Arabidopsis thaliana: one gene and its partner. The protein of the gene in region 2 interacts with the protein of the main gene of each other region in a pairwise test. Each region holds a gene or a part of one and is shown on either strand. Other genes may lie near its edges.

What was found.
Region 1: the proteins of AT1G79630 (region 2) and IOS1 interact in a protein complementation assay, tested with the Arabidopsis thaliana proteins (one large-scale study listed by BioGRID).

Annotation. Positions count from the first base shown.
Region 1 is NC_003070.9:19,212,533-19,218,604, reverse strand, and holds IOS1 (Leucine-rich repeat protein kinase family protein), read right to left. Parts: upstream 4,534-6,072; 5' UTR 4,403-4,533; coding exon 4,321-4,402; intron 4,252-4,320; coding exon 4,098-4,251; intron 4,027-4,097; coding exon 3,646-4,026; intron 3,567-3,645; coding exon 3,088-3,566; intron 3,015-3,087; coding exon 2,873-3,014; intron 2,769-2,872; coding exon 2,697-2,768; intron 2,612-2,696; coding exon 2,540-2,611; intron 2,467-2,539; coding exon 2,386-2,466; intron 2,282-2,385; coding exon 1,858-2,281; intron 1,762-1,857; coding exon 1,635-1,761; intron 1,546-1,634; coding exon 1,290-1,545; intron 1,187-1,289; coding exon 772-1,186; 3' UTR 552-771; downstream 1-551.
Region 2 is NC_003070.9:29,962,136-29,967,502, reverse strand, and holds AT1G79630 (Protein phosphatase 2C family protein), read left to right. Parts: upstream 1-1,727; 5' UTR 1,728-1,833; coding exon of another isoform or gene 1,834-1,847; 5' UTR 1,848-2,333; coding exon 2,334-2,597; exon of another isoform or gene 2,598-2,827; coding exon of another isoform or gene 2,828-2,881; exon of another isoform or gene 2,882-3,054; coding exon 3,055-3,483; intron 3,484-3,569; coding exon 3,570-3,687; intron 3,688-3,774; coding exon 3,775-3,998; intron 3,999-4,092; coding exon 4,093-4,572; 3' UTR 4,573-4,854; downstream 4,855-5,367. Other genes in the region: AT1G79640 (Protein kinase superfamily protein), read left to right, coding at 76-124, 227-291, 382-443, 521-590; AT1G79620 (Leucine-rich repeat protein kinase family protein), read left to right, coding at 5,329-5,367.

The DNA.
Region 1 (6,072 bases), about 11 Mb from region 2:
TAAATGTTCATAAAACTATATTAAATGGTGAACATTAAATCACATTTTTGTTTATTTTATAAAAAATCGTAATATTTATATTTATAATACTAAATAAGTAGACCGCCAATTTTGGTATTCTGCCAAATTAAAATTCTGAAATTCGTACAGATTTCCGATTTACTGTTGGAAATATCCGATATTTTTAAATGAACATATTTTCGTCGGACAATTTTATTACCAAGACCGAGTGAACATCTCCGCACAACCTAAAATCACTACAAAAAAAAAAAACAGTGCGGCTTTTCTACCGAATCTCGACAGACATCAATTTGGCAAAATTCTAATGATTTACCGACAAAAATATGTTCATTAAAAAAGAAAAACCTAGAAGTTACCTCATATAAAATTTGAAGAACCAACACTGTGGGGTTGGGCTAACTCATATATATACTTTCAAAATTTACATACCTTGTTCTTTTCACTGAAAGAGAAACCTAGTAACCTCATATAAACTTCTTTGGCTAACGTTTCATGAAGAAAAGTATTGTGCTACTATAAGAAATATTTGTCGTCATTTTCACCACATACATCTACCAACACTAAATTTCATTCAGATTATATAAAAAATAAAATTTTAAATAACAAAGAACTATAAAAAATAAAATTTTATATAACAAAGAACCGGAATAGAATACAAGTAACACTCACTCTGTTCATCACAAACAGAACAAAAGAAACGTGTGTACGAAGAAACTTCTAGCTTCAAACAAATTATACATAAGATTTGATTCATCTAGCTCCTGGATTAAGCTCTGTTGTGAAATTCATGGACAGCTCAATTGAAGAATCATTAGTTGAATCCGTCATACGGCTTCCCATGTTTCTTGCCATCTCCATGTTCAGACATTCTTTCAGATCCATTACGACTTGAGTCATTGTCGGTCTCCGTGAAGAAGACGGATTCAGGCAAGTCATTGCGGTCTCAACAACTTTCCATATCGTGTTTGGATCAAAGTCTCCTTGAAGCTTAGGATCTACAATGCTGTTAATGTCTCCTCTTGATAGCATCAAACCTACCCATTCAGCTATGTGTGATTTTTCTCTTTTCATGTCTATCACGGGTTGGTTTGTTACTAGCTCTAGTAGAACAACACCAAAGCTGAACACATCACTTTTCTCGGTCAACCAATTAGTTCTGTAGTATCTGGAAAATAAAAACAAGAGAAAAAGGAAAAGCCACAATGTTTAGAGTTAACACGAAAAAGAAAAATCAATAGTTGTTTTAAAGAAAAGTGTTTAAGGTTTACTCAGGATCAAGATATCCGGGAGTTCCAGCAACTATGGTTGAGACGTGAGTTTCAGTTCCAAGTGGAAAAGACCGTGAAAGCCCGAAATCCGCAAGCTTAGCTTGAAATTTCTCGTTTAATAAGATGTTAGTAGTCTTAATGTCGCGGTGAACTATTTGCGGTTTGCATCCATTGTGCAAATATTCCAATCCTTGCGCTGATTCCGCTGCTATACGAAGCCTTCCTTCCCAAGTTAGTATCGACGGTCCACGCTTCCCTGAAATCAAATTTTTGAAACAATATATATCAGAATCATAAAACTAAAAACCACAATGTTAAAACATTGATTTTGTATAAAAACCATACCTGATAAGTGCTCTTTCAAGTCACCATTCGCCATGAACTCATAGATTAGAGACATTTTATCTCCTTCTTCACAATATCCAACAAGACATGTGAGATCTTTGTGATGAACTCTAAGAAGCAACTCAACCTAAAAAGTAAACAAAACAAAAACAGATCCAAGACGCAATCAAAACACCATTTCTAATAATAGTTAAGAGAAACATTTGGTTCAATCTGTTATTACCTCGGCTTTAAACTGTTTGTAACCAAGTGCAGTGGACTCAGTGAGCATCTTTACCGCAACTGGTTCATTATTCAAGACGCCGTAATAAACCACACCAAAACCACCCCTACCAAGAACCCTCTCAAAGTTGTTTGTGATCTTAACAACATCAATGTAAGTCAATTTCCGGTTTTTCGCTATAACGGGAGGTTCAAAACCGTGGTGAGACCTCGAATGTAACGGTGTTGTACCAGTTCCTGAATTAGGATTCAAACCAAGCTTGGTTCTCTTCTTCCTCTTGAGGATAAGGAAAGTAACGATTCCAGCTCCAATGAGGAATACTGAAACAAGTGATGCTGCAACAGGTGCAATAACAGTGTTTTTCTTCTTCTTTTTCGTGGTAGCGCATGATGTAGATGAACAAAGCCCGGTATTTCCTTCGATACTAGAGTTTTCACATAGATTAAAATAAAATTTTGATTATTAGAAAACTCATAAGCATTTCATTCTTCTTTTGATATTTGTTTCCTCATAAGCACGGATTATTACCTTAACGTAATAGATCCTCGTCGTTCTTTATCAAGGAGAGTTGCAGGGATAGAGCCATTTAGCTCATTTCCAGATAGATTTCTATACAAAACAGAGTGAATATAGGTTAACGTTTGTTAACCTTTTGGTGTTAATAAAATGCGTTTGAGCTTACATGAGTTTTAAGGTTTCCATATTAGCTAGAAACTCTGGGACTGAACCAGTTAAAGAATTGTTAGACAAGTCACTGCAAGAAAATCAAATGTAACCCATCAAAACATACGACTTAAAGCAAAACTTTAATGCATTTTCTGAGCATGTTAACTACTTACAGAACTTCTAAACTGGTAAGGTCTGATATAAATTCTAAGATCTCTCCGGTCAAGCCACTTGTAGACAGATCCCTGTTTCCAAAAATCAAAAAACAATTAAAAACCTTTTGTGAAAATCATATGAAGAAGAACAAATCAAAACTCTGCTTTAAAAACAGAACAAACTCTATACTTACAAAGAAATGATCTTTGGGGTCTCATTGTCAACATAAGTGCAATTAACACCAGACCACTTGTAATCCAGCGGCACGCAAGGATCTCCTTCCCAGTCAATCTTGTTCACGCCGTAAGCCGACTTGATGTTCATCATTGCATCAACTGAAAACATATTTTCATTAGGTAAGTAAAAGTTTGGTTCTTAATCAACAATAAAGAAATAAGTTTTACCAACCTTCTTTTCTATCAGTTTCCTGTTGCGGCAACAAGTTAACCGAATAAATCTCCATAGCGTTGAGCAGAGGAGGTAAAGTCGAATTTCCTGTTCTTTGAAGCGAAAATATGTACTGCCCATTTGCATCGGCGACAACTTCGGTAGGTGTAAATACGGAAGACGTGGTGAAATTAAGTGGTCTAAAAGGTCCATAGATATGCTTGTTATTGTACATGATGTTGAACTCTCTTGTATCATTGGATTTGAGCTCTTGAATCTCTGCAAAATGCATAAAAACGTAGAACTGCACAGTACGTTCCACCCCGACTAGCGAAATGTTCATAGCTGCGTCCGGGTCTGTTGGAACAGAGGCTGTGACCATAGCAATCTCTGGTGGTTGATAGTCATTGTTTATATTCACTGACTGATTGGTACTAATCTGTGACCAGTTTCCGAAATTATACGGAGTCCAGACACGATCAAACACATCGATTCCGTACCTAAGACAAAGAAAAACAGAGTATATTTAGAAGCCTTTTCAGACTAACTTTTAACATTAGGGTTTTGAAACTTATAAACCTGTAGCCTTGGTTAACAGTCGCGCCAACGTCTGCTCTGATGAAGGTCTGCAAGGAACCTTGTCGAGTCAAGTAAGTTGTGTTCATGAGTTTACGAAGCTCTAAAGCGGAGATAAAAGGCGTTGCGTTTCCTGTCTTGACCAGACAGATTTGTAAACGATCAGTGGTCAAGATATGAATCATCTCAAAGATTGATGCTTCGGTCTCGTTCGTGGTTGTAACTGTAGACCAAAGATTAGGTCCGAGGTAGAGCTCGAATTGCGTTGAGGGTTTGTCGTCATAACCGCCGTGAAGGAAATTGGCTCTGATTAGATATTCGTCGCCTATGGTTAGGTTTAAGGTATAGCAGTTTCTTATGCCTTGTGGAAAACTCCGTAGGTTCCTTGTGGAAGAAGTAAAAGTGTTAGGTTTTAAGATAACATTCATTGATCTTGAGAAAGCTATTTATTATACCATGTTTGTTGCTGAAACTGAGTCCGGTATCCTTGTTTGATGCTTCCACCAACACCGGTATTGATGAAATTCGCATCGGAAATGTAAGTAATGTTTGTTGTTTTCTCACGAAAGCTAGTTTCTCTAGGCGAACCGCAATCCAAACTGATGAATCCTGAGAACAAAGCAAAGAAAAAGCTTTAGAAGAAACTTTTGAATCAATGAAGATGTTATATTTTTTTACCTGACTGATCTTGAGCAAGACAAAGAAGTAAAGCTGAGAAGATTTGCAGAAGAACTAAGAGAAAACAAGAAGAAAACGCCATTAATATTCGTCACTTTGGTTTTAATTGTTTCCTTGTTTTTGTGAGACTAGAAAGTGAAGAATCAAAAGAAGATATATGTGGTGTAATTAAAGAAATGAAAGATGGAATTGTTTTCTTTTTGTCTGAACCGCGTTAGTACTGGTTACTATTATGATGAGCTCAAAGTCAACCTTTTGGTAGAGGTGACCAATTGTGAATTTTTTTACGTTAAGAGGCGTTGACGTATAACAAAAATGCAGAATTTCTAAATTCGAGTTAGACAATGACATTACGGGGAAAATTTAGCTAATCTTAAAATTTCACCAATAATTTCGATTTTAAAATATTTAAACTATTGTTTTAACTAAATATTCATCTGGTTAAGTCATTGAAGAAGATTGTCTTTCTGCCAATAAGCTACACTTCATTGATCTGTAATAAATCTGACGAGGGTATGGAGCTTACTGAAAAATATATGTTGATTGTTCACCAGAAAAAAAGGCAAGAAAAACATTAGAAATATGTTTTGATTTAATGAAAGTTTATAAGTTATAACCATAATTCAGTTGAATTTTTTTACGAAAACTAAAACGAAACGAAACATTAAATTTTGAGAAGTCAGAAGGAAAGTGGTTGGTGACTTGGTGAGGAGCTAATAATACATGCACCAATAAAACAACTCTGATTATGGAGAGACGACCACGACTTCACTGAACCAAAAAAAAAAAAAAATGAGAGAAAAATATATGGTCAATATCAATTTGGCATCATTATTACAAGAATCATAGCCTAGTGGGGCGATATACATGCATCTTCTATATATTAATAGACATGTAACAATTGAAACAGTTTTTTAATTCGTAAATGTCTCATGTTAATTATTGATATTTAGTATAAAGCTGCTGTAAATTAATTTGTATTTATATTGAAAATATTACATAAATAGAAAATATTTCTTAATTTAAATAATTTCCTTTAGAGAACTCGAAAGTTATAATTTTGGTTGTAATTTATTTTCTTCTTTACTATATTATCATCATAAATATCCTAATCTAATCCTACTATATATAGTAGGATCAATCATTCGGATTTCAAACAATTCCACGATGTTCAGTTTTCTCAGCAAAACGTGATCTTTTACTGACGATTATTATATACATGTGTCATACCAACGATAAACAGTCTTATCTCTAGCATTTGTAACCACTCTCTAATGTAAAAACCTCTAAAACTTGAGTACCGATCAAAGAGGCTTCCACAATTGGTTGTTTATTATTGAAAATTAACTACAGTAAAAGATTCTCAAAATTCACCATTAAACGTATTATTGTCATGAGAATATTGTTGAAGAAAAAAAAAGTCATGAGAATATCAAAAATTCAAATATACGAACTTTAAAAATCGATTAATTTTTTATTTATTACGATATGTTTAACTACATATGTTATCTTCTTGTTAATTCTATAGTGAAATCTTTTTCAACATATACTAATGTATAAGTAATTAATTTAATTTATTTTTTTGGCAAAAAAGTAATTTTTATTTTGTTACGAACTGTTAAATCATGCGAAAAATCTATTTTCTAAAGAAGTTGGTATCTCTACATTTTCTGAGAAAATGATTTAAATCGATAAATTAATCAATTTTTAAAAATTTGTGGATTATTTTGTTCGAAAGAAAAAAAGATTTGG
Region 2 (5,367 bases):
ACGCTACTTCCTTTCTTTATATATCTCATAACAATATGAAAGTTCATTGCATAATTGAAATTGTCCCTTAAACAGGATAACATTTTGCATATGATGAAAGTACTCACCAACAGAGAGTTGACAGGTTTATTTCGTGCAACTTCACTCCTTTTCCATCTCAATTTTCCCTTTTGATTACATTTTTCCTTGCCACTGGATTGAAATTTCCTTTATTTCTTTGATGTAGATGGACGTGCAGTTGAACAAGGAAGTATACAACAACCTACTGTGCCCCCAACTGAGAAATCCATGGTATGCAATTGTTTGCAAGAAAAAAATGTATTGAATCACATTCCTTCAGACTTTTGAGCTTAATGGAACTGTTCTTCTGTTGAATCATAGCTTGAAGCAGCACACGAAAGAGAGAAAGAACTGCTCCATGACATAACCGACCTGCAATGGAGGTAACTATCGAAACCATCTCCTTGTATAGTTTAGATTAAAATCCATCATTCTCACTTGTTTTTGTGTGTGTTCATAGGCTCATTTGTGCAGAAGAAGAGCTTCAGAAATACAAAACCGAACACGCCCAAGTAAGTATGAGTAACTAAACACAATCGTTCTTATATGCAATCTTTTCAATTCCACTATATGTCAAAGATCAGTAAAACTCATCACTTGCCTGTTAAAATTCCAGGTTTGATTTCCTAAGAAGCCTGAGAAGATATGTGCTTAAGTAAAGAAGTTTGATTTCATCATCAACAATAAGTATTTTTAATAAGATAATACATCTAATGAAGGTAAGATTTGCTTTCAGATGTTTTGTCATTTGATTCATAAAATACATCACTCCCTAGTCCCTACTATCATTCTGTGTTATCTTTTTTTTTTTTTTTTTTAGTTTTTTAGGTTTGTTTAAGGAATATGTATTATGTACCATGGTAGCTATTTATAACCATGGTTACATAAGGATTTGTGTAATATTGATGATACAAAAAGCGTTATTGAGAAACATTTTCGTGAGATGGTGATTAAAAACATAGCATCTTGATAAACTAATGGGGTGTATGTGTTTTTGGATGCGTGTGAATGAATGCATCTCTCTCTCTCAACAAGTCAGTGGGACAACTAAAACTTGTCGTCGTGTCGCATTGGCCAGCACACAATCCGTGAATTCTATTACAGTCATAATTGCTTCTCTTTTAATGCTGCTCATATGTGTACATCTTTATTTATATTTTGTGTTATAGATTAGATGCTTATACCATATATATGAAGATGTGATTAACATAGGTTGTTCAATCTGTATAAATTAAAACGATTTAATTCATACCAAAATTGAAAACCCCAATTGGTTAGTAATTATGTACTTCCCAAAAGGCCAAATCAAGTAAACAACACATTAGATATTATCAACATTTATTTGATTTTAAAATTTGTTAAAGGTTAACACAAGTGGATACTTCAATTATATCATTTTTTGGAAGAAAGACAAAACGGAGTTATTATATTTTTTTCCAAAACTTGGCTGGCTTCAGAAATCAGAATTTAGGTTTAATAAAGGCAGAAAAGGACTTGTGGCTGATCAATTGTGAATACTTAACTAACCATTAATTAACAATCAAATTCGAACCATTACACACAGACAGACGACAACTTTGACACGTGGCAAAACGTAATTGGGTTATTTTCGGGTGAAATGGATGATACGATGCAGCCAAGAACCAAATTTTCCCACAATTATTATTGTTCAGAAAAGAAAAGAAAAAACACTCAAATGAAAGATCTCACGTGCGGAACCAAACTATGACCTTTGTCTGACCATTGCGTTTCTCTCTCTCTCTCAATTGTTCTATGAACTTTTTTTGGTAATTCTCTCTATCCAGAAGTGGAGTTAGTAGTAAACGTTGGTCTTTGTTGTGGGTCTGAAAGTATTAGCGTCGCTGTTTCCAAGTAATCCTAAATCAGTTCACAAGAATCTGATTTGAACAGATTGTGATGTTCTGTTTTCTTTCTCTTTTTTCCTTTTAATTCTCGCAATATGCAAAAGTATGAGTCTTTTTACCCGAGAAAATAGCAGTTTTCCCGAGAAAATAAACCAGAGGTCCCTAAAGCTAAAGCTAAAACTAAAAGCTAAAGTAGTGTGGATTTTCTAGATGCCAAGTTTCGTTTTTTGAGCCTTTTAAGCTCTTTTCTGGATTTCGTTTTTCTCGTTTCGCTCTATTCTTCGCCGAGCAAGTAATCATTGCCGACAACCCCCAGAAAAATCGTAGATTTCTTCAATCGGCGATTTAAAAAATTTGAACTTTTTCTTTAAAAGCTTTGAGCTCTTTTTTCTTCGGATTATTTTCAAAATGGGTCTGTGTTATTCAGTAGATAGGACTACTGGGAAGGAACCTGGAGAAGCAAGCTCCACCGCCACTACGGCGGAGACTGTGGAGGAGAGATCAGGCTCCGGAAGATGGCGGCGGCCGAGAGATTTAAAGGGTGGCGGCGATATCGAAGGGATTCCACAGGTTTTGGGTCGTTTGGTTTCGAATGGTTCAAGTAAGATTGCATGTCTTTACACACAGCAAGGCAAGAAAGGGACTAACCAAGACGCCATGCTCGTCTTTGAGGTTCGTTTCTTTTATCTTTCCAAAAATTCATCTTTTTTGCAACCCATTTGGATTTTATCAATACTCAAGAGGACAATTTCAGGGTATTTTGGTGGAGAAATGTTGTTCAATGTATGAGGAAGCTACTTGATTTGTTTGGATGTGTTTTGTTACAGATCAAATGGATCTTCAGAACATGATTGCATTAATCTTTTGTTGCTAGTGCTTAGTAAGAGAGAGAGAAACTTGGAATGATTCATCACTTTTCTGGGACCATTACAAAGCTTAGTGCTTTGAAGATTGAGGTGGCTTTGTTTTGCCATTTGTGTTGTTCTTGTGCTGTCTTGAGTCTTTGACCTGTTTCTACAGGGACCACTAGTTACTTGACACTTAGATTCTATTTCTGCTTACTTCCTTTTGTGTTACATTCACATATCAAGACAAGTTTCTAACTTATGAAAACTACTTCACTTTCCAGAACTTTTGTTCGAGAGACGATACAGTGTTTTGTGGTGTATTCGATGGACATGGACCATTTGGTCATATGGTTGCCAAGAAAGTCCGAGATACATTGCCCTTCACACTCTTAACCCAGTTGAAAATGACCTCAGAGTCAGATCAAAGCAGCTTAGTTGGTGCCAATGGTTTTCAGATCAAATGTACAGAGGAAGAAGAAGTGCAGACAACTGAGTCTGAACAAGTGCAGAAAACTGAGTCTGTTACTACTATGGATGAGCAATGGTGTGAGTTAAATCCAAATGTGAACAACGATGAACTTCCGGAGATGTATCTGCCTCTTAAACATGCGATGCTCAAGTCTTGTCAGCAGATAGATAAAGAGCTGAAAATGCATCCAACTATTGATTGCTTCTGCAGCGGAACAACTTCAGTCACTTTGATCAAGCAGGTTCTCAGCTTAGATCTGCTTGTAACCAAAAGACCATCATCGATTGTATATTAATTGCTGTAATTGTTCATAATGATTTCTTTTAGGGTGAGGATTTGGTGGTTGGAAATATTGGTGACTCGAGAGCCGTTCTTGCCACAAGAGACGAAGACAATGCTTTGCTCGCTGTACAATTAACTATAGACTTAAAACCGGATTTGCCAGGTACTTTATTACAAACCATGATATTAAACTCTGAGAGAAGCCAGAGGCAAAAGTTTCTCAACTTTCGCTTTCTATGTGTACTGTCAGGTGAATCAGCGAGAATCCAGAAATGTAAAGGAAGAGTCTTTGCATTGCAAGACGAGCCTGAGGTAGCTCGTGTATGGTTACCAAACAGTGATTCACCTGGTTTAGCAATGGCTCGAGCTTTTGGAGACTTTTGTCTCAAAGATTACGGATTAATCTCTGTTCCAGATATCAACTATCGCCGCCTAACGGAACGAGACCAATTCATTATTCTTGCTAGCGACGGGGTAAATTAAATCTTCAGTTACTAGCCACTAAATTGCAAACATTTTCCAAATCTTTAGAGCTGAAAAATGTTGTGTTTTCTGAATTGTATTAAAGGTATGGGATGTGTTGTCGAACAAAGAAGCTGTTGATATCGTTGCCTCAGCTCCTAGTAGAAGCACAGCGGCTCGAGCTCTAGTGGACACAGCGGTACGATCATGGAGAATCAAGTACCCAACTTCCAAGAACGATGACTGTACAGTAGTCTGTCTCTTTCTACAAGATTCATCAGTAGCCATGGAAGTCTCAACCAATGTAAAGAAGGATTCACCCAAAGAAGAGTCTATAGAGAGTGTCACTAACAGCACAAGCAAGGAGGAGGATGAGATTGTCCCCGTTAAAGACGAGAAAATCCCTGAGAGTTGCGGGATTGAGTCGAAAATGATGACAATGACACTTGCGGAATGTATCTCGGTTGCACAAGATGATGAAGAGTGGTCTGCTTTGGAAGGATTGACGAGGGTTAACAGTCTCTTGAGCATTCCAAGGTTTTTATCTGGTGAGCTCAGATCAACTAGTTGGAGAAAATGGTTGTGACTTTTTTTTGACTTAAGTGATTCTAAGTTAATGCCGACAAAAACACTTCATATCACGATGTTCCAACTTTTTTTCTTCTTCTCTTGGAAGTGATTTGCAGATATATAATCTTTCTTGTTTAAATTAGTCTTTCAGACATGTGAGAGATTGGTCATGTTAGCTGTAGATAAAGATCATAGTGAATTGGATCTTTTCTTGGATACTCTCTGTCTTTATATTTAATTAACTCTTATTACTACATGTTAGACACTTGGAAATTGAAGGAAGTGGCTTTTACGTTTTAATTATTTATTTTTGTTTTTGGAGATGGTTGGGTTTTTGGGAACTTTTTTTTTTATGGGTTCCACTATATTCTCTGTCTATTCTCAGCATAATGATCAAAGAAGGTTGCTTTGATTACAAAACAGAGCTTAACGGTAACCTAAGTTTACATCATTAATTTTGTAGTGGCTATTTGAAAGAAATTATTTTCTCCTTATTTGGAGATGTAACACTCAAGTGCTTTAATAACTAAAGTGCTTTGAAAAAAAGACACATGAACCGTTAAATTGACTTCGAAGAGAAGGAAAATTGATTGAAACCAACTTTTCTTGGTGTCACTCGTGTTCCTATTGGCACAATTCTCAGTACACATTTTTTTTGATGAGACAATTATGAATCTTGTCTCATAAGGAAGCTACTTTAATCTGTTTCTTCTTTCTCTATGATTTCACTTAAATATCAAACTTCAAGAACTCATGTCTCTTGAGGAACAATATGGTGGGTTCCAACACCGTAACCGCTACATCGCGGTTG